7 linked regions of the Callithrix jacchus genome follow. The protein of the gene in region 4 purifies or fractionates together with the protein of the main gene of each other region. This does not show direct contact. Links are inferred from orthologs where the notes say so. Each region holds a gene or a part of one and is shown on either strand. Other genes may lie near its edges.

Region 1 (3,622 bases), on a different chromosome or scaffold from region 4:
TTTAGATTTTAGAAAGGATGGCGTCCACATATATATGGATGAGAAATCTTGGAGTGTATGATCTGGGACTGAAACTGTGGAATATATATCTAGTGTCAAGATCTGAGAGCAGAGGGAGTTTGCTCTGGGATCTGGAATAAGTGATGGGGAAATGTTTTTAAAAAATAAACAAATAGGCTAGGTGCAGTGGCTCACATCTGTAATCCTAGCACTTTGCAGTGCCAAGGTGGGCAGATCGCTTGAGATCAGGAGTTTGAGACTAGCCTGGGCAACATGGTGAAACCCCATTTCTCTGTAAAAACAAAACAGGCCAGGCACGCTGGCTCACACCTGTAATCCCAGCACTTTGGGAGGTCAGGGCGGGTGGATCACTTGGAGGTTAGGAGTTCAAGACCAGCCCGGGCAACATGGTGAAACCCTGTCTCTACTAAAAATGTAAAACTTAGCTGGGCATAGGGGCACATGCTTGTAATCCTAGCTACTCGAGAGGCTGAGGCACAAGAATTACTTAAACCCAGGAGGCAGAGGTTGCAGTGAACTGGGATTGTGCCACTGCACTCTAGCCTGGGCAACGAAGCAAGACTGTGTCTCAAATAAACAATTGTGGGAGGATTCCTAGGTTTACTGCACTCCAGTTTATGCTTATATAGTACTCACACTCAGATCTTAGGACCTTTCAAGGGCTGACCCACCCATTTTCTGTGTTGTTAGTTTTTAAATGATATACAGAAGTTCATAATGTTAATATAATTGGATCTATAACTTTTTTCCCTTTTATGATAACACTTTCTGTATCCTGTTTAAGAAATAGTTGTCTACTCCAAGGTCATGCAGATGTTTTTTTCTAAAAGCTTTATTGTCTTATCTTTCACTTTTATATCTGTGGTGTATTTGGTACCGCTTCACGTGTGTGTGGTGTGAGGTAGGGATTGAGGTTCATTTTTCTTCATTTGGATATCTGATTGACCCAGCATTATTTTCTAAAAGATGCCTCTCCTCATTGGACTGTGGTGCCTCCCGTATGCTTTTGACAGGGACGAAGATAATAAAGGATAGGCATAGCGTACCTTTCTCTTTGAGACACAGGGATTCTAACTCCTATTCTCAATCTTAAAAAGAAGTGTTTTTTCCTCCTCACAGTAAATGGAAATTTTAATTGTGCTTCTGTTTCCAGGATACCAAGGGTTCGAGTTCTGGAGGACGAAGAGGGGTCAAAGGACATTGAATTGTCTGATGACCCTTATGACTGCATACGACTAAGTGTCGAGAATGTTCCCTGCATTGTCACTCTGTGCAAGGTATAAGCTTGTATTTTATGGTTTTTGTCTTCCCTGTGGATGTGGGTCTCCTCTAATCGCAATCTGCTGAGATTACTTAATAGGTTGATAAATTATAATATCACACACCATATAGAAATAGCTTTAACCCAGATCCAATAATTTGCTTATATTAGAAAAACACTACCATGAGTAGCTTTTTCTTTTCTTTTTAGTTGGAAGATATGATGTGGCCTGGGAGCCAGGAGTGTGTTTGTAGTAATAGTAGCCAGAGTTTGTTAAGCTCCTTCCACATACCATGTACTTCAGTAAAGCACTGTGTCCTTTAATTGCCTCAACTCTATTGGGCTTAGGGTGGCTGAGTAGTGGCAGGGTGGCAAACAATGCCCCCTCTATGAAATGGGAGATTAGAGCAGGTCTTCGGTGTCAGGAGTGGTTTTCCTATAGAGCAGAGGGCTGTGGAGCTCAACATCTGGCTGATGTGACGTATAACTAATGCTGCCCCAGGCTGTGCAAAGAGACCTGTATTGGCTATTAACTGGGATTGTAGCTAATTCCACTCAGGATTCATTATCTTAAAATAAAGCTAAACTGGTCAGATTTAATTCCACTGAAATAACTTCATGAACAGGATGTGGTGAAGTGTTCAGACAGCAGGGTATTGGGTCTTGCCTTTTTTTTTTTTTGAGAAATAGTCTCCCTGTGACACCCAGGCTGGAGTGCAGTGGCAGAATCTAGGCTCACTGAAACCTCTGCTGCAACCCACCCCCGCCACCTGCCCAGGCCCAAGCTCAAGCAGCCCTCACACCTCAGCCTCCTGAGTAGCTTGTACCACAGGCTAACACCACCACACCTGGCTATTTTTTTTGTATTTTTGGTTGATACGGGGTCTTGCCATGTTGCCCAGGCTGGTCTCAAACTCCTGAGCTCAAGTAATCCATCTTCCTCAGCCTCCCAAAGTGCTGGGAGGCATGAACCACTGCAACCAGCCTTTGGCTTGTTCTTGAGTGTGCCCCTTAGCATGGGCCTCTTGATTCCTCCTTGCCATCAGTGAAACATCGATGTGGCATTGTGTGGAATTTGTCCCTTGTGCCCCTCTGTTGGAAAGCCTCTGTGGCCTCTGTCTTGGATGGTCTCTGAATTCTAGTTTTAAACCCCCTTGCCCTATTTTTCCGTGTCATGTTTTTATTGTATCACCCACACAGTGGCCTATGAGAATTGTTGAACATTCCTTCAACTGTTTTCCTCATGAGCAGAATCTAAAATAAGACCTGGAATGACCTATGTGAATCCTTTGCCTGGTGTAGAGATTCCCACCACGAGGCCATCAAGAGTGGGGCTCTGGAGCCTGTGTGACCCCTGTGTGCTGTGTACCCTGCCTTTGCAGATTGGCTATCGGCATGTGGTGGATGCTACCCTTCAGGAGGAGGCCTGCTCCTTGGCCAGCTTGCTGGTGTCGGTGACCAGCAAGGGAGTTGTGACGTGCTTGAGGAAAGTGGGGAAGGGCAGCCTGGACCCAGAGAGCATCTTCGAGATGATGGAGGTGAGGCCCTGGTTTTGTGGATGGTGTGGGGACCTGGCCGGGACACCTGCTGCTTCCTGCCCACTTGGTTACACCGTGGGGATTCTTCCCATTCACATCCTTGACTTCAAACCTGGAGCTTGGAGAACAGTTGGTTTGAGCCAGGGGTCTGCTGACCTAACCAGGAGGGTTGGAGGGTGGAGACTCTGGACTGGGAGGTAAGGAGCCTACTGGCAACCATTGCTTATCCTCAGTAAGTCCCCCTGCAACTCATTTCTGTGTGTCTAAATAAGACTGCTGGACTTCCATAATGGAAAGAGCCACTCGTAACTCCAAAATCACAGGCCTTAGTGACTTGTTGAAGGAATTGAATTCTTGGCTCACTGCTTCCTGTCCCTTGAAGTTGGTGAGTAAAGGTGGAAGCAGGGGTTGAAGTGTGGCTGTCTCCCAAATTCATTACAACTCTAGAAGTGTTTAAATGGAGACAAGCAGGGATGGTGAGAAATCCGACCCCCTGGAGTTGGGAGTGGGTTGTCCCCATTCCTGTCAGAGCCATGAGGGCACTTCTAAGTTCTCTGTACTGTTTTCCCCACGTCTGTCACTTCACTAGCCTGGAAGTCCTTCAGGGCAGGGACAGGGTTCTGCTCACCTGTTTTCCAGACCTTCCTTCCCCTCCATCCACCTCACCTTTCTGACTGACTGACGGAACTTCCAGGAACAGAGTGAGCTGGATTTGATTATTCATACTTTCTTGTAACCTCTATATCACCATGCATGCCCAGAGATCATTGCTTAGTAGCAAGCACTCTTCCTTCATTTTTAG
Region 2 (3,075 bases), on a different chromosome or scaffold from region 4:
GATATTTAAAGCAAAAGTGTAAAGCAATATGATATGCAGATCTTGGTTTGACCAATGATATGGCTTTAAACCTTAAAAATGATGAGTTGTATCGTCTGTTTTCAGCTTCCAAATATGGACTTCAGATACAGTTTGTCTTTTTTCCATTAACATTATTTGGAGTACTTGATACTGTTTTAGTGAAAGGATAAGATCATTTGTTTTCTTTCTACCTTCTGAAGTAGTACGTTAATATTCTAGATAAGAGTTGGTAAATAAAAAGCATGCATAAACCTGTTCCCCTTTTCTGACCTTGTGTAGATGTTACTGATTGATCACAGGGTTAGTGTGTGATAGGAAACCTGTTTGCCCTATATATCACAAATGGGAAAAGTCAGTTTACTTATTCAACAAATATTTGAGTGCTTACTGGGAACTAGGCATTATTTCCAAGTGAGATGATTCCTCTGTGAATAAAGCTGATCCCTGCCCTTGTGGCAGACACCAGACTGTATCTAATGGAGGGAGACAAACAATAAACATAATAAAGTGAACAAAGAAGAGATATGTATGAATATGTAGTATGTTGGAAAGTTATGGGAACAAAGAAAAAGAGTAGGGTAAGGGGGATTGGAGTGCTTGGGTAGGACGGCAGTGTTTGTTTTTTTTTTTGAGAGAGGAGAGAGGAGAGATGGGAAGGACTGCAGTTTTAAATGCTGAAGTCAGAGATTCATTGACAAGGTTAACATTTGAGTAGACTAGAAGGAAGAGAGGGAGTGGCTGTATGGGTAACTGAGGAAATACTCTTTGAGGAATAAGGAGGCCAAAGACCCCAAGGCAGGGTTGGTGTGTGTGTGCTGCAGCTGGTATCCACCATTGTAAGCACTGTGCTTTTTACTCAGACAGAAATGGGGCGCCACTAGAGACTGTGGAGCAGAGTTGCCAGTTTTTCACAATGAAAACATTATAAGAATGTACATTTTTCTGTGTATGCGTTTTCTGTGTAAAGCTTATTTTTAAACAGTGATCAGTCTTTTACTCTGCTGTTTTATGGCTCTTAACAACTTTACCTTCTCCATTTGAAGTATAAGATAGCCATTTATGCTGATTCATGGTCTCAGAAGATTCAAGGTGGTATGGCAACATACTATGTTTCTCACCTGGTAAAGTCTGATTAGAACTGTATTTTTAAAGAAAATTTCACGTACTTACCAATCAAACTATAAAACCGAATAATTTGTATTTTCATTCTTCCTATTTTAATTGTTACACTAGATGGTAATGTGAAAAACCATGTATTTCCTGTTTAGAAAAAATTCAGGTTAATTTAGTTTGTATTTTGCAAGTTTATGAGAGCTCAGGTTTTTTACTTTAGATACAAAACAGTTAATATGTAGATTTATGTTAATGGTGATTACAAAATGTATAACCACCTAGAAAGTTTCAATTCAATGTTTGTTTCTGGAGTGATGTCAGTATGATTCTTCCTCTTTGGAAACAGAATTCTGAAATGACTTTTTAACATCTGTCTCTCCCCACCCTCTGACTATGGACTTCAGGCAAGCAGGGAGCATGTTTTTCCTATTCATTTGCACTTCCTAGCACCATGCACTCAATAGGCAATATGTTGAATTTAACTGAGATACAGTATAATACAACTTAGTCATGGTGAACAGCTTAGTAAATCTATTGCCTGCCTTTCTTTTTTATCTTTAAGGAAAGAATCAGAGTATATATGAACAGAGTCAAGGAAATAACAGACAAGAAAAAGGCTGGCAAGCTGGATAGAGGTGCAGCTTCAAGATTTGTAAAAAATGCTCTCTGGGAACCAAAACCGAAAAATGCATCAAAAGTTGCCAATAAAGGAAAAAGTAAAAGTTAACTTTTTGATTTTGATGTATATATATTCAAAAAGTACATCATTTTTTTCCACAAAATAATTCTGTGGCAGTGCAAAGTTTAAATGTGTTTCTTATTGAATTAATATATATATTTACAGTAAGTTTGTAAAGCTGAATACTTTCCTTTCCAAAGATTGTTATTTTTCTTGATTTGCATTATGAGGATTTAAACATTGTGATATATTTTATATTTATAATTTACCATCTCTTTTGATGAAACTCTTATTTCTTTCTATAGGTCAATCTTGCAAGAATCATTTTATAAGCAACTGTGAAATTTAAGTAAAATGTTCTTTGTAAACATTTGTACTATTTTAAATGAATAATGACCTTATGAAGTATGCTTTCTATAGACTGAAATTATAGGTATATCTGTTTTCACTATATGACATTAAGAAAGCATGAAATGAACTAAATGTTCATTTTTTTTCTGTTTAGTTACTTGATCATGTTTTCATGATTTTAGGAATTACTGCTTTGTTGATATTCAGAGTGTGAAACTAAAACTTTATAGTTGTACTTTAATTCTTGGCATGTTGCCTCTGTGTCCCATTTAAAATAAAATACATTCTCATTAACTTTAGATGGGAAATAAAGTTGTATGTTGATGGATAAATTTTGGCATGATGACTATACTCTCTCAATAAAGGCTGAAAATGTTGTATAACTGACCTGTGTATTTTTATCTTTTGAGTAAATTTGCCTTTCAAATTAGGAAGCTAGGTTTTAGAAGCATCACAAATAGAGAAATTTATGGGTTATTGTTCCTGTTGCATGGTGTCCATAGTTCTTTTCATCTCATTTTTTTTCATTTCATGTTTTTGAGGCTGTATCAAGTACATACAAGTGTTTTGGAACAATGTCTTATGTTACATAATGCCACTTAAGCAGAGGAGATGTCCAAAGAAGATTACATTGTGTTTATATTGTGATTTATTTTTCTGGAAATTAGTTACAGAGAATACTACATAGTAAACCTTTTTAAAAATGTCTAAGCCCATGAATTTTAATTACATGCCCTTAATGCTTTCAGTGTTTGAATCTGTATCATTATGTGTAGGAATGCCAAGTATAGTAAAGTACTTTAATTTTTGAAAAAGCAGTTGTTAAAATTTTCTGTGTGATTAATTCTTCATAAGTAACCTTGAATAAATGGATTTCTTGATTTATGATAGCAGATATTGGAAATGGTCTT
Region 3 (4,082 bases), on a different chromosome or scaffold from region 4:
CAAAAAAACCCAAAACAAAACAGAAAAAAAAAAAAAAAACAGAGTACTTAAATATCAAGGGACCTGGTTACACTCCGAATGGGGAGGCATAGGCCAGAGGCACTGGAAAGGGGAGCAGCCTCGACTGCTTTGGCTCCAAACCCGCAAGCCTGACAGAGAACCGGGCGTAATCCACCTCGCGATCAGCAGGGAAACACAAGCGCCGGCGGAGGGCAAAGCCTCCTCCTTATTCCCCAATCGTTGCACTTTTCCCACTTTTATAACCAGAGAGGAAGCACGAGTTGCTCGAAAATGTGAACCGTGACCCATGGGACCCTAGGACCAACCCGCGCGCCCTCGAGGGCTTGAAGCCGGGTTTCAAACACTCGTTCGCGGCTTCGGGCTCCCACCTAACAGCGGACGAATTCCCGCCGCCCAGCACCGGCTGCTAGCTCTCGGCAGGGCGCAAGACCCCGAGGCGGCGAAGCACCGACGCAGCTGCGCACGGCCAGGTAAGCTGGCTGCGGTTCCTCGCGCCCCGCCCGCTGTGGGCGTGTCAGGGTGGGTGGTGCTCAGGAGTGGCCCAGCCCCGGCCCTCGGGTCGCGAGAAAACTTTCCATCCCGGCCTCAGCTGTTTCATCTGCTGACCTGCTAGAGCGCTACGCCGCGCGTCATGTGCGGCCTCTGCTAGCTCTGATCCGAGTTTCTTCCAAAGACTTCACTACCGACGTGGGGTGAATGAAGGACAGTTCAGAGAACATTTCCCCACCTGCCTCTTTGCCTGGCCCGAATGTGAGGTCCTTGAGCGCCCTTCAGCCGTGCTGTTGATCCTGCCAACACTGAGGCAGGCAGGGTCACCCAATACTTCTGGAGTGGGGAAGAGAAAAGCACAATTAATACTGTCTCTGCCACAGGAGCTCCCATTTTTGCCAGGGAAACTAACCTGGAAGTGGGAGCCCCTTTTATTTGTTGGCCTTCTATTACACCTAGCGGGGAAAATGGCTTGCCAAATTTGGAGGGTGTGTTGAAGATGATCTGTCTCAATCCTAAAAAACATAAAAGTTCGGCCGGGCGCGGTGGCTCACGCCTGTAAGATAGATGGCTGGCTACAGCCACCTCGGACGGGCACCTGTGAGCTGACGGCAACGAAGCTTCATAAACTGGTCAACTCAACCGACCACTACTGCCGGAACCGGAAAGTCATCAAGGGCGGGTGCGGAAGCGGAAGGCGAATACCGGAAACGGTGTTTGCGGGCGTCCGCAATGGCTGAAGGTGTATCAGTAGTTGCTGAATCTCTCGCGGGCGGCGGGGCGCGCGTTGCGCGCTCAGTACTAGGTCAGGTGGTGCTCCCGGGTGAGGAGCTGCTCCTGCCGGAACAGGAGGACGCGGAAGGCCCTGGCGGTGCAGGGGAGCGACCGTTGAGCCTGAATGCTGGAGCTTGCTCGCGGGTGCGCGTTATTTGCGGCCCGGGCTTGCGGCGCTGTGGGGACCGCCTGCTGGTCACCAAGTGCGGCCGCCTCCGTCACAAAGAGCCCGGCGGTGGCGGCGGCGGCGGCGGCGGCGTTTACTGGGTGGACTCTCAGCAGAAGCGGGTAAGCTGGGACTCCGGAGTGGTAGCCCTGCTTTAAGAAGACCTCCCAAAAGAAGAAAGGATGGGACACTGAAGCCCTCCTTGTTCAGGCACCTAGAGCCCCTAGTACCACCGTAGTCTTGTGCCCACTTTTCATGTCCTTTAGAGGGTCCGTGAACAATAGGAACATACCCTGAGAAGGGCGACCAGGAGAGAAAAACGTTTGGAGACCGTTAGTCATGATTATAGTCTTCAAAACCCCAAAGGTCAGGGAGCAGCAGACTTTCCCTTTGGAGTCTCAGAGGGCAGGACCAGGCTGAATGAGTGGATGTCAAGGGGAGTTAATTTCTCCTAGGACAGATAAGAACTTTCATACAGAAAAAAAAATGTCTAACTATGGAATGGGCTTCCTTGGTTGTAAGGATTCCTTTGCCACTGGATTTATGCTACAAAGCTAGGGACTTACTCTTTGGGGTGCTGAAGAAATACGGGGTTTGGGCTCAATTAACAGACTACCAGAAGCTGCAAACCCGACACTTTATGTGATTTTCTTTTACCAAAAGCGGCATACGATCAAATTTCTTTCTCTTTAATGACAATAAGGTAACCACAAAAGACTTGCTGAAGGTATCTTCCAATGGTATGTTGTTATTTATGACTGTTTTCTCATTCTGTTTCCTTTTGTAGTATGTTCCAGTGAAAGGAGACCATGTGATTGGCATAGTGACAGCTAAATCTGGAGATATATTCAAAGTTGATGTTGGAGGGAGTGAGCCGGCTTCTTTGTCTTACTTGTCATTTGAAGGTGCAACTAAAAGAAACAGACCAAATGTGCAGGTAATGATGGGAGCCTTTGGTTTCAAAGCAAGAAAAACATCCATTCCCTTGAAGGACTCATATCTCCAGAAGGCTACCTGAATTGTCTCCAAAGCATGACCTAGATTTCTGTGCATGCAATTGCCCCAGGCTCCAAGAGTTTCTTCAGATGCTCCAGGACCAGAGCCACATACTTACTTTACATTGACTACATTGTTCTTAGCATGTTTCATTTCTACTGAGTTATCTGTCATCTCTGTTATGTGTTATGTCCACATCCTCTGGACAAGGAAGTCTTCTGTAGGCTTAGAGGAGGGAAAAGTAGTGCGCATTTTGGCATTATCAGCTATCCATCCATCCTGGCTGTAGATCCTAGGAGCTGAGAGAGGAGTGATATTATTGCCTTGGGTTTTCAGATTGGGCTTTTCAGGTAGCATAGCCACACTCTTGTCTACCCCAGCCCGACATTTAGTGATTTCTTTGCTGCTTCTCATTCACTTCTCATGCATATTTAGTTGCCTAACCCTATTTTGATCCTATTTGATTCCATCTCTGATCTTTGGTATGTCCATCCCTTTATCTCCACTTTGCAAGTTCAGGCTTTAGCTCCGTCTTGACTGGACTCAGTCACATTAATCCTTGCCTCCACATTTTTACCTTACCATCCAGGGTTTTGAGAGCAGACATCCTCACAGTCACTTTCTGGAAAAGAAAAAACAAGATTATCCAAAATCTACAGAATTCCTTGGCATTACACTTCAGGTGTCTTTTCCTTATCCCTAATTATATCCTTCATGCAGCCCTACTTGAATCACACCAAAAACCACTAAACTCAATTTCCTGCCCTTATTTCTTTGCACATGCTGTTCCCTCTGGATTGCACTATTCCTTCTCAGCCTGTGGAACACATTCTCATCTTTTAGACCTAGGCTAAACACAACCACCTCTCTAAAGCCATCCCCAGTTGTCACTTTTCTCCTATCTTTTCTCTAGCACTTACTGGATTTAGTATATGTACCTCCCAACTGCCCTCCAAGACCAAATGCTTCTGAAAATCGGAGAATGTTTTCTTCCTCTATAGTTTACATAGTCACCAACAAACAGTAGGTACTTAACACATTTTGTTGAGTAAACCGAGTTCACTCTCCATTTCCTCAGTTTCATCACTTTAAAGTTTAGCTCTATGAGGTTTTTAAGTAATCTTGCAGGGAGAAGTGTCAGTGAATTATTTTGTTTTGCTTTGAATAATTCGCATGCTGTGAGTTCCTTCCTCTCTCTGTAAATCTGTAATTCTCTAGGGTGGTGTCACCTAATACATCTTTCCATAGTGATGCTGTTTTATGTCTCTACTGATTAGTATGATAGCCACTAGCTGTTGAGCACCTGAAATGTGGCTAATGCAACTCAGGAAATTAATTTTAAGTATCTAATTTTAATTAAATGTGAGTTCAGATAATTAGCTACCTACCATATTGGACAGTGCAACCCTAGAGGTGTTCTCTGGCCTTCAGATGGCTCTTCCTCTGTGATTTCCTGGTTGGTGAAAGGGAATGATACATGCGTTCCTTTTTTTCACAAGACTCAACTCCAAAGTGACTGTAGAAATCCTGTAGTGTAGTCAGTCCCTTAGCCACAGAACTGTAGGTGGCTGGCATTGATGGCTGTGGGAAAGAACCAATAGCAGCACCTGTAGAGTAGTTTGCTGAGAGGTAATGA
Region 4 (4,394 bases):
AACAGTTGCTGCTCCGTCTCCTGAGCACGCTCTACCTCCAACTCTTCATACAACAGGTTTTTCTCAACTTTCAAGCCTTAGCACCATCATCTGACAAGGGCCGTTCCGGGCCACCTTGTCTAGAGTAGCCCTAAACTTTACTCTATCATGTCACTGTTCTTTTTCACAGCATTCATCACTTATTTATGTCCAGAATGCCAGCTTCCGGAAAAGTGGGGATACGCTTTTACACGGTATTATGTCCCAGTATCTCACACACAGTCACAAGTGAATGAGATTCTATAGCTACTTAGCACATTAACATTTTATTTATTCCTGGGAAAACCTGAAGGGCTTTTAACATCCCAATCGGTTTCTGAATTTCATCTCTGATATGGAGTAACTGTGTGAATTCCAGCAAGTCCCTCACCCGCGGTCTCGAATCCCTAACAACACGATGACGATACCTTCTTCCCGCTCTTATGAAGATTAAGTGAACTAATTACTCTTAAGTGCCCAGCTCAAGAATCTGACATAGAGCCCATGCTTGTCAGCTGAGATGCTACTAGCTTTCGGATGTTCCACAGCATCGACCTGGGAATGGCTTTCGAAAATGTCTTTAGGTGGTACCCAGAGCATTAAACAACGGGGTATGAACGCTACCCTATTTTCAGTGTTTAATTCTTTTTTGCTCTGTTGTTTTGTTTTTGAGACAGGATGTCGCTCTGTAGCCCACACTGGAGTCCAGTGGCGGGATTTCAGCTCACTGCAGCCTCGACCTCCCGAGTTCCGGCAATTCTCCAGCCTCAGCCTCCCAAGTAGCGGGGACCACAGGTCCAAGACACCACACCCAGTTATTTGTTTATTTATGGTTGGGTGGGATGGGGTCTCCCTGTGTTGCCCAGGCTGGTCTTTTCAATTCTTTACATCAAAACCAGGCCTTCCTCTCATGCGCGTGTGTTTGGCACCCATCCCTGCCTCCATCTCTTGCTGCTTCTTGCAATTCTTCTGTTTAGCGGAGATCCCTCAGCCAGAGTCGCACCCGCAGGGGCCGGCGGGTGGAAGGTGGCTCTGCGCGGGGACCGGAAGCCAGACTGCCTGGGGCGGCCCCGGCCGCGTTCCCCCGGGACTCCGGGCGGCTGTGAGGACGGGAGCAACTCGTGGGGTCCTACTGAAAACGACGTGGCCCCTCCCGCCACTCACGTTATGAAGACAAACACGTAGTTAACCCTGCCCGGGCGGGTGGCAGGCATCGCGGGAACCTATGGTGCCGGCGAGGACTACTGAGTCTGGAGGGGGTGCCTGAGGAAGGGGGTCCCCGAGGGAGGATAGGCCTTCGAGGTGGCCAGGCCCACGTCCCGGGAGGGCGGCCCACAGCTCGGGGCAGCAAGGCTCTGGGGGGCCTCCTCTGACTTGGGCCTGTTTAGTATCTGCCGCGCTCATCCCCGCGCGACTGCCCCACGCGCTTACCCGAGCCTTTCAGTCGGCAGAACGCCCACAGAGGGGCCGCACCCGCGCGCGAGACACCGGGCGGGGAGGCAGGGCGGGGTGGGGAGGAGCGTCGCACGTTACACACGCGACGCAGCTACGCACGCGGCTCCGCGCATGTGCGGTGAGGATCGCGGCCGAGTGCGGCGCTGGGCGGGAGCCACCATGGCGGCCGAGCGCAAGTCAAAGTTGTCCAAGAATCTGCTACGCATGAAGGTGCGGGGACGCTGAGCCACGCCGGGCGGTAGGGGCACCCGGTCCTTCCGACTTGACCTGGGCCGAGGCGGCGGGCGGACGGGGGACACCAGAGAGGCCCCAAAGGCTTCCAGCTCTTGTGCTCATTCATTCACTTAGCGCCTGCTCTGCACTGTTTACTGGGAACCAGGTTGTGAATTAGGCTGACTCTCTTGGGAGGCCCGCGGGCGGATCGGAGCTTATATACACATAAGCAGCAGTCAAGGTACAGTTCACCAAGTTCAGTGAGGGTAGAAGCGCCGGGGACCCTGGGAACTCACTGAACTCGCGGAGTCGTGGTCCCTTTAGGTTACTGGGAGGGTGGGAGGCACAGCGTCTTAAAGTACGAGAAACTGAGTTCAGAAGTCCCAGAGGCAAGAAGGAAAAAGAAAAGCATGGAGATTTCCAGGAACTAGAGATAATTCCGTATGTTTGGAAGGCAAATACTAAGAAATGAGGTTGCAGAGTAGGCCATGGTCACAACGTGCAGGGAATTTTAGGCCTGATTAAGGATATTTTCCTTTATTTTGTGAGCAATGGAAAGCTCAAAAATAGCAAATATTTACATTTTTGGGGTACTCTATAATGTTTTAAGTGTTTTGCATATATTAACCTATGCAGTTCACAAAATGACACTTTGAGGTTACTACAGGCAGTAACTCTATTTTTGCAACTAAGGCAACCGAAACGGAAGTAAGTAACTTACCCAAAGTTACACAGCTAATAAGTAGTGCAGACGGGATGGAACTCAGTCTAGCTCCAGAACCCTGGCTCTTTATTACTACTCTAATGCCTCTCACTGAGCACTACTAATAGAGAGTAGCAAACTGTTACATGTCATGTTTAAAGAGGTGGAATTTCCAAAAAAAAGGGAAGGAAGCTATTCATAGTGTTTTGAAAGATTGGAGAGAGAGCCCATTCGCAGTGACTCATGTCTGTAATACCAGCACTTTGGGAGGCTGAGGTAGGCAAATCGCTTAAGCCCAGGAGTTTGATACCAGCCTGGGTAACGTGGTGAAACCCCATCTCTACAAAAAATACAAAATATTAACCAGGCGTGGTGGCATGCACCTGTAGTCCCAGCTACTTGGGAGGCTGAGGTAGGAGGATTGCTTGAGCCTGGGAGATCGAGGCTACAGTGAGCTGAGATGGTGCCACTGCACTCCAGCCTGGGTCACAGAGGGAGACCCTGTCTCAAAACGAGAAAGATTAGAGAGTAAACAATGAATGGGTGAATGAGGATAAATTGTAGCATAACTTATAGTTTGTCAAGCACTTTCATGGATAATAGCAAAATTTGAATCTTTACTGAACAGAGTTTGCTTTTGATTTTAGGATTTGTAATAACATTAATTTCAGAGAAGTGGAGTGAATTGGCCAAGCAGATACTGAAAAGATTAGCAATTGTTTTAGCTCTTGGAATAAGCCAGATGATGTACTACGTGACTCAGGCTCAAACTAAAGATCTGAGTTGCAACTAAAAAGGAGGACATTAACTTAAAATAAGTGTCCACCCCCACCAAGTGGGGAGACCCAACTGAACATTGGAAGCAAAGGAGAGAGAAGAAGATCACCCAAGTTCTCTATTTGTTTTAGAAGCTTTTGGTCATCGATAAGAAAGAACTTACTGGCAAGATAGCAGGAGACACTACCTGTACTAACTGAACAGAGTATACTGTGAAAAGGCATGGAGCAGCTGCACTTGAGTGCCATAGCCAGAGCTAAGTCCTATATAGCATGAGTCTCCAACCTCTGGGCCATGGACCAGTACCAGTCCAGGCCTGTTAGGACTGAGCCACACAGCAGGAGGTGAGTGGCAGGCAGCCAAGCAAGTGAGGGAAGCTTCATCTGCATTTACAGTTGCTCTCCACAGCTTGCATTACCACCTGAGCTCTGCCTCCTGTCAGATCAGTGGCAGCATTAGATTCTCCTAGGAACACAAACCCTACTGTGAACTGCACATACGAGCCACCTACCTTGCACGCTACTTAGGAGAACCTAATGCCTGATGGTCTATCACTGTCTCCCATCACCCCCAGATGGGACTGTCCCAGTTGCAGGAAAACCAGCTCAGGGCTTCTACTGATTCTACATTATGGTGAGTTGTATAATTATTTCGTTACATATTACAATATTAGAAACAAAGTGCACAATAAATGTAATGCACTTGAATCATCCCTAAACCATTTGTCCCCCCCTCCCCACCCCACCCATGGAAAAATTGTCTTCCAGGAAACCAATCCCTGGTGCCAAAAAGGTTGGGAACCACTTTTTATGGCAAGTATGAGGGTTGAGGATTTAATCCTGACTCACTTGAATGCTTCTGACTTGGTAAGCCATTGAGGGGTGATCCTGATGGGAAGCAGAAAAAGGAGGATGTGGATAGAAGGTCTGTCAGTATGGAATGGTTGTAGAGAGGGTGCTTATTTGTGATTTTAGCACTATTAGACTCTTAGAACAGGGCTTGGCAAACTTTCTGCAAAGGACCATATAATAAATATTTTGGGCTTATGAGCCAGGCAATCTCTGTTACAACTACTCAGCTCTGCCATTGTTGTTCAGACCAAATGACCATGGCTGTGTACCAGTAAAACTTTATCGACAACGACAGACATCCAGCCTGAGGACTGTATTGTGCTGATGTCTGCTCTGAGTCCTCACTAGTTTTAGAATGTGTTCTGAAATGCTCTAGA
Region 5 (3,622 bases), on a different chromosome or scaffold from region 4:
CCACAGACCATGGTGGGGGTGGTTGCAGGATGATTTGAGTGCATTATGTTTATTGTGCATGTTATTTCTATTATTGCACTGTAATATATAATGAAATCATTATACAACTCACCATAATATAGAATCAGTGGGAGCCCTAAGTTTGTTTCCCTGCAACTACAGTCTCATCTGGGGGTGACGGGAGACAGTGACAGATTATCAGGCATTAGATTCTCATAAGGAGTGGGAAACCTAGCTCCCTCATACGTACAGTTCACAATAGGGTTCACACTTCCATAAGAATCTAATGCCTGCCCTTATCTGACAGGAGGCGGAGCTCAGGCAGTAATGTAAGCGATTGGGTAGCAGCTATAAATACAGATAAAGCTTCTGTCACTTGCCTGCCACTCACCTCCTTCTGTGCAGCCTGGTTCCTAACAGGCCACAGACCCACCACCAGTTGGAGACCCTTGCTTTAGTGCTTCTGTTTATGCCCTGAGGCACCGAAACTCCTTATCCTGTCTTGCCAAATCTGAGGTATTGATACTGCTGCTCCACCCTGCTCCTCTGGGTAGCAGCTGGGTCCCAAGTAGACTTGTTGTCTGTTCTTGTAGCTCTTTATTTACTAGGAATCTACAGGATAATTCTTTCTCACAGGCTGGGCAAGGTGACTCATGCCTGTAATCCCTGCACTTTGGGAAGCTGAGGCAGGTGGATCTCCTGAGGTCAGAAGTTCAAGACCAGGCTGGCCAACATGGAGAAACCCTGTCTCTACTGAAAATACAAAAATTAGCCGGGTGTGGTGGTGCACACCTGTAATATCAGCTACTCGGGAGGCTAAGGCAGAAAAATCTCTTGAACCTGGGAGGCGGAGGTTGCAGTGAACTGAGATCACACCACTGCACTCCAGCCTGGGTGACAGAGGGAGACTCTGTCTCAAAAACAAACAAATGAACAACAAAAAACAAATTCTTTCTCACAGATAATTAATCTTTATGTTAATTCTTTTTTTATAGCAAGGAAGATATCCGAGCAACTGAAAAAGACAAGGTTGTTGGTTGGTTCTTTTTTTTTTTTTTTTTTTTTTTTTAAATGGCTTTATGACTCTTAATCCTTTAAAAGTATTACCTCAGGCCAGGCATGGTGGCACACACCTGTAATCCCAGTACTTTGGGAGGCTGAGGGGGGAGGATCACTTGAGTCCAGGACTTCAAGACCAGCCCTGGCAGCATAACAAGACCCCATCTCTGCAAAAAGATCAGCATCCGAGTATAAAAAATTAAAAACTAGCTGGGCATGGTGGCTCATGCCTGTAGTCCTAGCTGGTTGAGAAGATGAGGCTGGAGGATTGCTTGAGCTGAGGTGTTTGAGGTTATGTGGTGGCATGCACCTGTAGTCCTAGCTACTTGGGAGGCTGAGGCAGGAGGATCCCTTGGTCCAGGAGTCCTAGGCTGCAATGAGCTACCATTGCGCCACTGCACTCCAGCCTGGGTGAAACAGCAAGATCCCACCTCTTAAAAAAAAAAAAAAGTGAGGATTGGGGGCAGGCACGGTGGCTCATACCTGTAATCTCTGCACTTTGGGAGGCCGAGGTGGGCGGATCATGAGGTCAGGAGTTCAAGACCAGCCTGACCAACATAGTCAAACCCTGTCTCTACTAAAATTATAAAATTTAGCAGGGCATGTTGGCACACGCCTGTAATCCCAGCTACTCAGGATGCTGAGGCATGAGAATTGCTTGAACCTGGGAGGCAGAAGTTGCAGTGAGCTGAGATCGCACTACTGCACTCCAGCCTGGGCAAGAGAGAAAAACTCTGTCTCAAAAAAAAAAGACTTTCATTTGTATGATAATACTATAGAAGCAATTAAAAGTTGTTAACTACATAAGTAATGATGCTTTTACCCTCTAGGGTTAGAAAGTAGACTGGCTTTACCAGAGAGGTTCACAGTTTCATGTAGACCCAGTCTAGAGCTTTCACTTACCATTCCTGTTCTTTCTTTACAGGTTGAAATTTATAAGAGTTTCCGCCCAGGTGACATTGTCTTGGCCAAAGTGGTATCCTTTATTCCCAGCAGAATTCTGGTCCTTTGTCAAAAGAACAGATGGGGGCTGGGTGCAGTGGCTCACGCCTATAATCCCAGCACTTTGGGAGGCCGAGTTGGGTGAATCACCTGAGGTCAGGAGTTCGGAGTTGGAGACCAGCCTGGCCAACATAGTGAAACCGTGTCTTTTTTTTTTTTTTTTTTTTGAGACGGAGTTCCGCTCTTGTTACCCAGGCTGGAGTACAGTGGCGCGATCTCGGCTCACCGCAACCTCCGCCTCCTGGGTTCAGGCAATTCTCCTGCCTCAGCCTCCTGAGTAGCTGGGATTACAGGCACGCGCCACCATGCCCAGCTAATTTTTTGTATTTTTAGTAGAGACAGGGTTTCACCATGTTGACCAGGGTGGTCTTGATCTCTTGACCTCATGATCCACCCGCCTCAGCCTCCCAAAGTGCTGGGATTACAGGCTTGAGCCACCGCGCCTGGCCTGAAACCCTTTCTTTATTAAAAACAGAAAAATTAGCTGGGCATGGTGGTGCACACCTATAATCCCAGCTACTCAGGAAGCTGAGGCAGGAGAATCGTTTGAACCCAGGAGGCAGAGGTTGCAGTGAGCTAAGATCGCACCACTGCACTCCAGCTTGGATAACAGAGCGAGACTCCATCTGAAAACAAACAAAAAAAACGAGACAGAAGTAGAAAAACAATTCAGGTGGCTATGGTGGGAGGGAAGACTTTTAACTCCTCATTTTCCTTTACCAGTGTTATGTGACTAGATCTCCCTAGGTGACGCACAGTCCAACTACCTGCTAACCACTGCCGAAAACGAGCTGGGAGTGGTGGTAGCCCACAGTGAGTCAGGTGAGGTGGCCTTGCTTCAACATCCTTACTTTCCCTGGAGTTGTGGTTTGGGATTAATCCATTGTTTTTCTTGATTTCATTATCTGGGAAGCAGTATGGCCATAGATATTTCGTTCTGAGATGAGAATGGTTTTTTTTTTTTCTTTTTTGTGTGGTGATGGTGGTGGTGCTGGTTGTTTGAGACAGGGTCTCTCTCTGTCATGGAGGCTGGAGTGCAGTGGTGCAATCTCCACTCATCGCAGCCTCGACCTCCTGGGTTCAGGTAATTCTCATCACCCAAGTAGCTGAAGTACAATGGCGCATTCTCAGCTTACTGCAACCTCCGACTCCCAGGTTTAAGCAATTCTTTTGCTTCAGCCTCCTGAGTAGCTGGGATTATAGGCAACTGCCACAGCGCCCAGCTAATTTTTTTGTTTATTTAGTAGAGACAGGGTTTCTCCATGTTGGCCAGGCTGATCTCGAACTCCTAACCTCAGGTGATCCACCCACCTCAGCCTCCCAAAGCGCTGGAATTACAGGCGTGAGCCCTGGCCTGAGTTTTGTTTTTTCAGTAGGGACGGAGTTTCACCATGTTGGCCAGGCTGATCTCAAACTCCCGGCCTCAAATGATCCGCCTGCCTTGGCCTCCCAAAGTACTGGGATTATAGTCGTGAGCCACTGCGCCCAGCCTGATTCTCCTCATATAAATCCAAGGAAATGGGACTCGCTTCTTAAGTCAGTAGAATGAACAAAGTTTATT
Region 6 (4,126 bases), on a different chromosome or scaffold from region 4:
GCACCACCATGCCCAGCTAATTTCTTGTATTTTTAGTAGAGACGGGGTTTCACCATGTTGACCAGGATGGTCTCGATCTCTTGACCTCCTGATCCACCCGCCTCGGCCTCCCAAAGTGCTGGGATTACAGGCTTGACCCACCGCGCCCAGCCCCCAGTGGTAGTTTAAAGGAGAAATCTTTTGCCAGAGGCTGCAAATGCTATAAAAGTTGGAGTGGAACAGTGCTTGCTTCAAGGGAAGAAATTGGTTTTCATTTTATCTCCATTGTTTGAATATATAGGTACACCATAAAATCAATAGGGATACCAAAATAAATATTTTTTTTTTTTTTGAGCCGGAGTTTCGCTCTTGTTACCCAGGCTGGAGTGCAATGGCGCGATCTCGGCTCACCGCAACCTCCGCCTCCTGGGTTCAGGCAATTCTCCTGCCTCAGCCTCCTGAGTAGCTGGGATTACAGGCACGCGCCACCATACCCAGCTAATTTTTTTGTATTTTTAGTAGAGACAGGGTTTCACCATGTTGACCAGGATGGTCTCGATCCTTGACCTTGTGATCCACCCGCCTCGGCCTCCCAAAGTGCTGGGATTACAGGCGTGAGCCACCGCGCCCGGCCTAAAATAAATAAATTTTAAAACTACATGAAAGGCCGGCCGCAGCGGTTCACACCTGTAATCCCAACAATTGGTGAGGACGAGGCGGGTGGATCGCTTCGGACCAGCCTGGCCAACAGAGCAAGACCAGCCCCCCATAGCAACAACAAAAAATGACTTTTTAAAAAAATGAATACAACTTTTTAGAATGTTAGGCTGGCAGGATTGCCAGCTTATTTGCTGAGTCTTTTACCTCGTTTAGAGCTAGCGAGAGCAATGAAGAGAAAACATTCATTACCCGGTATTAATATTAATACGGCGGCTTCACTCGCACATGGACCTGGGGGGACAGTCCCCTAATCTTGGACAGCTGCTCCCCGCCCTTCCTCACCGGCCGTCCGGGTATCTCTCTAGTCTTCCCTCCGTCTCTGGGGTGAGTCGTTTCCACCCCTCCTCCCTGGTCCAGGCTACTACGGGAAGGGAAGAAACTGAGGCCGGAAGGACCGGGAGAACCGGGAGGGCCGGGCCCAGCCGGGAGCGTGTGGCTCCGGGCCTCCCCGGGGCGCGGCCGTTAGGGCGGTTCCGGAGCCGCGGCGCCCAGGGCCGAGGGGCGGGCCCGAAGTCACGGCCTCGCCACCGCCGCGCCCGCCGCTCCGCGGCCTCCCGGCGCCACGCCGCCATGCTGCAGAAGCGGGAGAAGGTGCTGCTGCTGAGGACTTTCCAGGGCCGCACGCTGCGGATCGTGCGCGAGCACTACCTGCGGCCCTGCGTGCCCTGCCACAGCCCGCTCTGCCCGCAGCCCGCCGCCTGCAGCCACGGTCAGGCCTGGGCGGGGGCGGGCGGGGGCGGGCGGCCGCGGTGAGGGGGTGAGCGCGGCCCGGAGGCGGAGCGCCAGCTGCAGGGGCACTGGGGCCTAGGCCCTGCGGCCCGCGCCCGCCCCCCGGCGTCACCCCCGTCTCTCTGCGGGTTGGGACCCAGCGGCCCGGGTCCGCGACTTCTGGGGAGCCCCGCGCAGGACTCCCCGACTGCTCCGCCCTGTCCAATGGAAAGGCCGGAGAGACCCGCGCCCCAGCCCGGAGGCCGCGTGGTTCGGCTCCTCAGAGGGGCCGGAGGGCGCGGAAGCCGAGGCCTCCTCCAGCCGTGGCGGTGAAATGGGGAGGTCCCGAGCTGGGAGCCCCCGGGAGCTTCTGGCCAGCTGCTGCCGCGGCGGAGCTGACATCGCCTGCTTTGCAGCCTCAGGTTTCCTGACCTGCGGGCACTGGTGCCCCAGACTTTTCCCCCGCAGATTTGTGAACTATCAGGGCAGGCACTGGGGAAGAAGGTCAAAGGGAAGTTGGACTGGGGACTCCTGAGCACCCGTCCTTGGTTTCTAGGCTGCAAGAGTGGCGGATAGAACGATGCACGTTATTGGTTCTCTTTCCCCCATGGGAGGATGAGCATTGGGGGTTTGGAATCCTCCAAACTTGGTGGTTAAGGTGAACATTTCAGGTAGAGCTTGGTTAACCAGTTATCAGATGCGGGCCTGGTGGAAACCCCATCTCTGCCCTCTTGCTCGCACTGAGCATTTTCTCAATTCAACCCTTGTGGCCCTCGGCTGCTGCGCACTTGGAGAAGCTTGACACAGAGCCTACTTGAAATTGCTGGGCATCATACACAAGTGGTATAAATTTGGGGATGCTTCATTTGAACGTATTTGTCAATGATGAGTTAACACTGAAATATTCAGGTTATGCTGAAAATGTGTCATCCTCTCCTGTACCTCTGGCAACACCATAAACCGCGTTGAGCTTGTATTTATCACAGCTTCAAAAAAAAAAATAAGGGTGCTCAATATACCTGAACTTTGGGCCTCCACCAAAGTAGATTTGTCTTTTAAAAACTCCCACTTTGGAGTTAAGACTGGAAGTTATTTTGCGTGCTAGGGCACGATGACATTTAGTCATAAACCAGGTTTGGAAACATGGTCTGATCTCTTACATTTTGAATTATGTTTCAGATGGGAAGCTCTTGTCTAGTGATGTGACTCATTACGTGATCCCAGACTGGAAAGTTGTTCAAGATTATCTTGAGATCCTTGAGTTTCCTGAGTTGAAGGGAATTATTTTTATGCAAACAGCTTGTCAAGCTGTACAGCACCAAAGAGGCCGGAGGTATATGTTTTGCCTTCTTTATTTCTATATGCCATAGGTTCTCCCCACCTTAGAGAAGGTCTCTTGTTGGAGGGGGACGGGAGGAATTCATTATTTTGTCAGAAAGGACTTTTCAGACTGATTTCGTATTCTCTTTGATAGTGAGGAATGCGGTAACATTATTTTATATTTCTGCTTCAACACCTGGCCAAGAGAGCTGACTGTAGATCAATAACCTGCAGTGTCCCCAGTCTGTGGGTATTTAAGATTCTAGTGTGAATTGGCTTTTGGCTTGCATTTTTATAGTGGCAGGGTTATTGCTTATTTCTTGTTGATAATGTGTATTGTTTAATCTTATTTATAGATACATTGTTTCAGAAGCATACATTCTTTTCTTGGGGAAAAGAGTACTTTATTTTTAAATTTTAAACTCTTGTTGTGGATGCAAATTGTACTTGTAATGATTTATTCAATGAAACCAGAAATAGCATGTTTTATTTTCAGATTACTAGTGTAACTACCAGCCCTAGTCACTGTATTTGCTGAACAAAGGATTTCTCATTGAACCAGTCTAAAATTCTCGCCTTGTACTTAAATGAAGAATAGTTGTCTATCTTTTAAACAAATACTTTGAAAAATAATTTCGCTTCCTTTAACATTGGGAAAGGTTTATGACTTGAACTTAAGACTGTATGGAAATGGCATATTAGAATTATATGTCCAACCTCTTAACACTGTAAGTTATTTAATAAGCACAAACTACACATTTATTCTTTTTAAAAATGTGGTTTCTTCAGGTCTTGGTAATAAAAGATGAAGTGTTTTTATTTGTATATGAAAATGACAAATTGTCCTCTTATTACATGCTCAGTTCAAAAAACGTACATTAACCAGATTGTGTGCAGCGTTTTTCAGATAGAATATTTTTAAATGAGCATCGAGTTTATTTTGTTCAGACACCAAGATATAGATGTTTATACACATCCAAATTTAAATGCTGCTCCAGGTGTCGTATTTCAATTTCTGCTACTAAAATCAATTCGTTGTTATCATTTGGATTGCTAACACACTGCCAGCCTTTTCAACTTCTGTTTTCTAAAATATTTTTAATGTTAAGGATTGTTTTAGAAACTAATTCCTGGGACATTTAAAGAGAGAGAGTTGGAATTTAAACGTCTTTTCTCCTGAACATTTCAAGAGTAGTTAACTTGATGAAAAACTATTGGTTTTCCACTGCTTTGTCATGTCTTTGAATATACTAAATGTGAAAACAAAAGATGAGGGGTTATGAAATAGGGCCATATGATAATACCCTGATTTCGTTGGTTTGGTAAGCACTTTTTGAGCTCTTAGTTCTAGGCCTTGGAGAATAAAAAAGAAGTCTTAGTCCCTCTCACAACAAACCTA
Region 7 (4,292 bases), on a different chromosome or scaffold from region 4:
GCTCAATGGATCTTTCTTCAGGAGGTGGACTTGGTTTACCTGCTTTACTGACCACAGCTGATGCAAATTATTTCATTTAACCCTCTTTAGAGTCCCCGTGCATGGGGAATTATCTTCCCCAATTAGTTTCTTGTGAATGCTGCAAACCATGCAGGGCAAGAAGAGCGAGAGGATAGTGGGGGAGGGGGAGAAGGGGCGAGGGGTACGTTCCTATCAAAACGGAGCCGCAGCTGGGCGCGGTGGCTCACACCTGTAATCCCAGCACTTTGGGAGGCTGATGCGGAAGGATCACGAGGTCAGGGGTTTGAGACCAGCCTGACACACATCGTGAAACCCAGTCTCTACTTAAAAAATACAAAAATTAGCCCAGCGGTGTGGCATGCACCTGTAATCCCAGCTGCTTGGGAGGCTGAGGAAGGAGAATTGCTTGAACCTGGGAGGCAGAGGTTGCGGTGAGCCAAGAGCGCGCCTCTACACTCCAGCATGGGTGACAGAGCAAGATTCCGTCTCAAAATAAAATAAATAAAACGGAGCAGCAGAAAAATCCACAGAGACATCCGTCTATTCCCCGCTGAATCCTTAGAACAGCGCCTGGCACACAGAGAGCGCTCAATTTGCTGTATGACTAAATGCAAGCCAAGATCTTTGTATTATGTGCGCACTTGCCTTCCCTACCAGATATACTGGCTTGCAAGTATACTGTTTTCTTAGACGATTTTTTACTTTTTTTCCAGAAGAAATATTGGCATAAATTAGCTCGCTCAAAGGAGTCTTTATGAAAAGACAGAACCAAGTGAGAAGCATCTGGAGCCCGGTTTGGGGGCTATAGATGATGCTGCTGAGCCAGCATCCACGGGGCGGCAGGGACGTAGAATACTGGGACTACTAGGAATGGTGTGGAAAGGGGCTCTTCTTTCTGTTCAAATAGTGTTTCTGTAGATCCCATCTCTTCATCTTCCTGAGCTCTCTCTTACAAAATATCGGATTTCAGCAGCTTAGAATTGGACAGAAACTCAGAATTCCGTTTTTCAATTATTTCTAACCCTGGTAAACAATAAATGGGATGATAAGTACAAGAGAGTTTTGGTGGCCGGGCGCGGTGGCTCACTCCTGTAATCCAAGCACTTTGGAGGCCAAGGTGGGCGGATCACCTGAGGTCGGGAATTCAAGACCAGCCTGACCAACATGGTGAAAGCCTATCTTTAAAAAAAACAAGAGTTTTGGTAAAAAGTCAAACGACGTGAGATTTTATTATTCCAAGGGTGCTCCCTTACCAATAGTAAACATGGCAGCTCGGTTCCCTTCCCTTCGTGTTCGCCTTATGGTTGCCAATTGTAAACATGGCCTCCAGGTCGTGAGTTCTCATTGGTCGCTGCACCGAGTCCCCGCCCTTCCCCGCCCCTCAGGACGCGGCCGGGAGTTGCGGAGCCGGATATTGCGGCTCCTGGCTGAGCTGCGTCTGCGCAACTCTTTGGCGCCAAGATGGCGATGGAGATGAGGCTTCCAGTGGCTCGCAAGCCTCTTAGCGAGAGACTGGGCCGCGACACTAAGAAACATCTAGTGGTTCCGGGGGACACAATCACTACGGACACGGGATTCATGCGGTACGTGGAGACTTGGGGGAGTCTAGGCTTCAGAGAGCGCTTCAGGGCTCTCTGCACGTGGCCCACGCCTCGTATCCCTGAGTGTCCATAACTCACCGCAGGACCCACGGGACATCGCCTGAGCATCCTACTCGCCTCGCTTCCGAGCCTCGTGCTTCTTACCCCCGGCATCTTGTGTGTCCCCGTCTGCATTCGTTTCAGCTCCTGACCTCCGGTGGCTGTGACTTTTGGGTTTTCTGCCCGAAGTCCAAATCTTTGAGGCTTCCTTGTAGGAGACCTGGAAAACTGGAGAGGGTTAGGAGCAGGCTGTCTTTCCAGTTTTCAGCTGTCTGAGGGGACGGTGAGCGTTCTTGACTTGGTCTCCTTCTCTTCAGTTTAGAATCCTTAATTGTTCGAGCTTAGGGCAAACCGTTACATTGCGCTGCCTGCACCCATTTACACACAGTTTGAAGCTAAGGGGTGCAGTACAGTGCGTTGTAGTTAAGAGGGCAGGCTCTTGAGTCAGATAATTGGGGTTACTTCCAGTCCTGCTACCATCGCATTTATTAGCGGCATTGCCTCTGCCCTGGCCAGTTTCCTCTTCTGTAAGATAATAATAACAACAGTATGATACGGTAATGAGGAGTAAATGAGATCATTACGTAAGAAAAGAAGTATAACCAGCCATTACATCATCATCATAGTTAACACTAGTGGTATTTCAAACTTTTATTTTTTTGTACCTGTATATATACAAGGGGCACAACATTCATAGCATTGCCCTTTAACCTGTTAGTTTAAGGTTAGTGGATCCTAGAAGATCTCCCCCCCACCCCCGCTTTTTGAGAGGAAGTCTGGCCTTGTCTCCCAAGCTGGAATGTAGTGGTGCTGTCTGGGCTCACTGCAACCTCTGCCTCCCGGGTTGAAGCGGTTCTCCTGCCTGAGCCTCCTAAGTAGCTGGGATTACAGGTACCTGCCACCACGCCCGACTGATTTTTGTATTTTTAGTAGTGATGGGGTTTCACCGTGTTAGCCAGGCTGGTCTCGAACTCCTGACTGCAAGTGATCCACCCGCCTTGGCCTCCCAAAGTGCTGGGATTACAGGTGTGGGCCATCATGCCCAGCCCCTAGGAAATCTTTGGATTCATTCTTTGATTAATGCTTTCAACATATGTTTACATTTTGTGCAGTTGGGATATAACAGCAGAGTGAAAAATCTCTGTCCTGGTGGAGTGCTAACAGGCAGAGATAGACAATAAGTGCAACGAATAAGTTATTCAGAACATTAGGCAGTCAATGCAATGGGGGAAAAGTGGAGCAGGGTAAATGGAATGTGGTGGGAAGATGGTGGGAGGGTGGCAACCTGGTTGGGGGGGGGGCTGTTTTCAGTGGCCTAGTCCAAGTGGGCCTGCTGGAGAGAGTGCCATCTGAGCAGACCTGAGTGAGAGGAGTGACCTCCAAGTAGATGTCTGAACAAGGAGCACGAAGGCAGAGGGAGCAGCCAGCCCAAAAGCCAGCCTTCACAGGGGCAGCCTGTTAGCTTTGAGGAACACCTTGTTCTTGAAGAGAGAGCACCGCAAGTTACCCTGGGATCCTTTCTTTGTGTCTTTGCCTTGCGTCAGGGGCCATGGAACGTACATGGGAGAGGAGAAACTCATTGCGTCTGTTGCCGGCTCTGTGGAGAGAGTAAACAAGTTGATCTGTGTGAAAGCTTTGAAAACCAGGTGAGAACAAAAGGTGTGTATTCCCTTTCTTGTGGCATCCAGGTTGTATGACCAGGCTCTTTCTGCCTCCCCTTATCCCCCACCCTACCTCTGCCTGCCGCATCCTGCTGTAAGTCTTCGGTTTTGACCATGACTATAGGTGGGTGGTGCAGAGCAGCGCAGGCTTCAGAGGTATCCCCATGTTATGTCATCTCTCCAAGCCTTGGTTACGTCCTCTGAAAGTGACTATATAGTATGGCCTACTTCATAGGATTTTTTCTTTTTTTTTGAGAGGGAATCTCGCTGTGTCATCTAGGCTGGAGCTCAGTGGCACCATCTGCTCACCGCAACCTCCACTTCCCAAGTTTAAGCAATTCTGCTGCCTCAGCCTCCCAAGTAGCTGAGATTACAGGTGCTCGCCACCACGCCTGGCTAATTTTTTTATGTTTTTAGTAGAGACAGGGTTTCACTATCTTAGCCAGGCTGGTCTCAAACTGCTGACCTCAGGTGATTCACCCCACCTTGGCCTCCCAAAGTGCTGGGATTACAGGCATGAGCCACTGCTCCTGGCTTAGGATTTTTTAGAATTCAGTGAGATGGTGCATGTATTTAGCACAGGGCCTGATACTTAGAAGCATTTAATAAAGGTTAGCCCCAGAAAGCAAGACAGTAGGGTTGGAACAGAGTGAGTGAAGCGGAAAGTAGGGGCAGATGCAGGCTGAGAGCTGAGGTGGGTGGACATGCGCCTGCCTTCTTTGCCACTGTAAGCATTTTGGCTTTTATTTTGCATGATCTGGGAAGCCACTCGTAGGGGTGGAGCAGAGGAGAGACTTGATCTGGACTTCAGCTCACTCTGGCTACTGATGGGAGATTGAAGGGGGATAGGGCAAGCTTAGGGAGATGGATTGGGGACCATACTCGTGATCTGAAGCGGTGGTGGCTTGGACTAAATTGGTAGCAGTGGAAGGTGGAGGAGCGATTTTATTTTCTGAGTGTTTTTTTAAAT

The links.
Region 1: the proteins of MPHOSPH6 (region 4) and EXOSC7 purify together in Homo sapiens (affinity purification with mass spectrometry; 4 studies listed by BioGRID and IntAct, counting the BioPlex papers as one, with this or other methods). This does not show direct contact. The link is inferred for Callithrix jacchus from reciprocal best matches to the Homo sapiens genes MPHOSPH6 and EXOSC7.
Region 2: the proteins of MPHOSPH6 (region 4) and C1D purify together in Homo sapiens (co-immunoprecipitation; 3 studies listed by BioGRID and IntAct, counting the BioPlex papers as one, with this or other methods). This does not show direct contact. The link is inferred for Callithrix jacchus from reciprocal best matches to the Homo sapiens genes MPHOSPH6 and C1D.
Region 3: the proteins of MPHOSPH6 (region 4) and EXOSC3 purify together in Homo sapiens (affinity purification with mass spectrometry; 6 studies listed by BioGRID and IntAct, counting the BioPlex papers as one, with this or other methods). This does not show direct contact. The link is inferred for Callithrix jacchus from reciprocal best matches to the Homo sapiens genes MPHOSPH6 and EXOSC3.
Region 5: the proteins of MPHOSPH6 (region 4) and EXOSC1 purify together in Homo sapiens (affinity purification with mass spectrometry; 5 studies listed by BioGRID and IntAct, counting the BioPlex papers as one, with this or other methods). This does not show direct contact. The link is inferred for Callithrix jacchus from reciprocal best matches to the Homo sapiens genes MPHOSPH6 and EXOSC1.
Region 6: the proteins of MPHOSPH6 (region 4) and DIS3L purify together in Homo sapiens (affinity purification with mass spectrometry; 3 studies listed by BioGRID and IntAct, with this or other methods). This does not show direct contact. The link is inferred for Callithrix jacchus from reciprocal best matches to the Homo sapiens genes MPHOSPH6 and DIS3L.
Region 7: the proteins of MPHOSPH6 (region 4) and EXOSC2 purify together in Homo sapiens (affinity purification with mass spectrometry; 8 studies listed by BioGRID and IntAct, with this or other methods). This does not show direct contact. The link is inferred for Callithrix jacchus from reciprocal best matches to the Homo sapiens genes MPHOSPH6 and EXOSC2.

What each region holds. Positions count from the first base shown.
Region 1 is NC_133516.1:27,748,652-27,752,273, forward strand, and holds part of EXOSC7 (exosome complex component RRP42), read left to right. Parts: intron 1-1,174; coding exon 1,175-1,298; intron 1,299-2,664; coding exon 2,665-2,820; intron 2,821-3,409; coding exon of another isoform or gene 3,410-3,502; exon of another isoform or gene 3,503-3,521; intron 3,522-3,622. UniProt on the Homo sapiens protein: Non-catalytic component of the RNA exosome complex which has 3'->5' exoribonuclease activity and participates in a multitude of cellular RNA processing and degradation events.
Region 2 is NC_133515.1:45,822,745-45,825,819, forward strand, and holds the end of C1D (nuclear nucleic acid-binding protein C1D), read left to right. Parts: intron 1-1,696; coding exon 1,697-1,861; 3' UTR 1,862-2,547; downstream 2,548-3,075. UniProt on the Homo sapiens protein: Plays a role in the recruitment of the RNA exosome complex to pre-rRNA to mediate the 3'-5' end processing of the 5.8S rRNA; this function may include MPHOSPH6.
Region 3 is NC_133502.1:144,772,686-144,776,767, reverse strand, and holds the start of EXOSC3 (exosome complex component RRP40), read left to right. Parts: upstream 1-1,222; 5' UTR 1,223-1,242; coding exon 1,243-1,572; intron 1,573-2,237; coding exon 2,238-2,387; intron 2,388-4,082. UniProt on the Homo sapiens protein: Non-catalytic component of the RNA exosome complex which has 3'->5' exoribonuclease activity and participates in a multitude of cellular RNA processing and degradation events.
Region 4 is NC_133521.1:39,719,640-39,724,033, reverse strand, and holds the start of MPHOSPH6 (M-phase phosphoprotein 6), read left to right. Parts: upstream 1-1,593; 5' UTR 1,594-1,632; coding exon 1,633-1,683; exon of another isoform or gene 1,684-1,927; intron 1,928-3,036; exon of another isoform or gene 3,037-3,796; coding exon of another isoform or gene 3,797-3,799; intron 3,800-4,394. UniProt on the Homo sapiens protein: RNA-binding protein that associates with the RNA exosome complex. Involved in the 3'-processing of the 7S pre-RNA to the mature 5.8S rRNA and play a role in recruiting the RNA exosome complex to pre-rRNA; this function may include C1D.
Region 5 is NC_133513.1:90,258,768-90,262,389, reverse strand, and holds part of EXOSC1 (exosome complex component CSL4), read left to right. Parts: intron 1-995; coding exon 996-1,029; coding exon of another isoform or gene 1,030-1,036; intron 1,037-1,984; coding exon 1,985-2,035; intron 2,036-2,798; coding exon 2,799-2,883; intron 2,884-3,622. UniProt on the Homo sapiens protein: Non-catalytic component of the RNA exosome complex which has 3'->5' exoribonuclease activity and participates in a multitude of cellular RNA processing and degradation events.
Region 6 is NC_133509.1:13,339,037-13,343,162, forward strand, and holds the start of DIS3L (DIS3-like exonuclease 1), read left to right. Parts: upstream 1-1,245; 5' UTR 1,246-1,269; coding exon 1,270-1,408; intron 1,409-1,532; exon of another isoform or gene 1,533-1,741; coding exon of another isoform or gene 1,742-1,829; exon of another isoform or gene 1,830-2,078; intron 2,079-2,585; exon of another isoform or gene 2,586-2,586; coding exon 2,587-2,740; intron 2,741-4,126. UniProt on the Homo sapiens protein: Catalytic component of the RNA exosome complex which has 3'->5' exoribonuclease activity and participates in a multitude of cellular RNA processing and degradation events.
Region 7 is NC_133502.1:179,354,136-179,358,427, forward strand, and holds the start of EXOSC2 (exosome complex component RRP4), read left to right. Parts: upstream 1-1,473; 5' UTR 1,474-1,482; coding exon 1,483-1,604; exon of another isoform or gene 1,605-1,944; intron 1,945-3,205; coding exon 3,206-3,307; intron 3,308-4,292. UniProt on the Homo sapiens protein: Non-catalytic component of the RNA exosome complex which has 3'->5' exoribonuclease activity and participates in a multitude of cellular RNA processing and degradation events.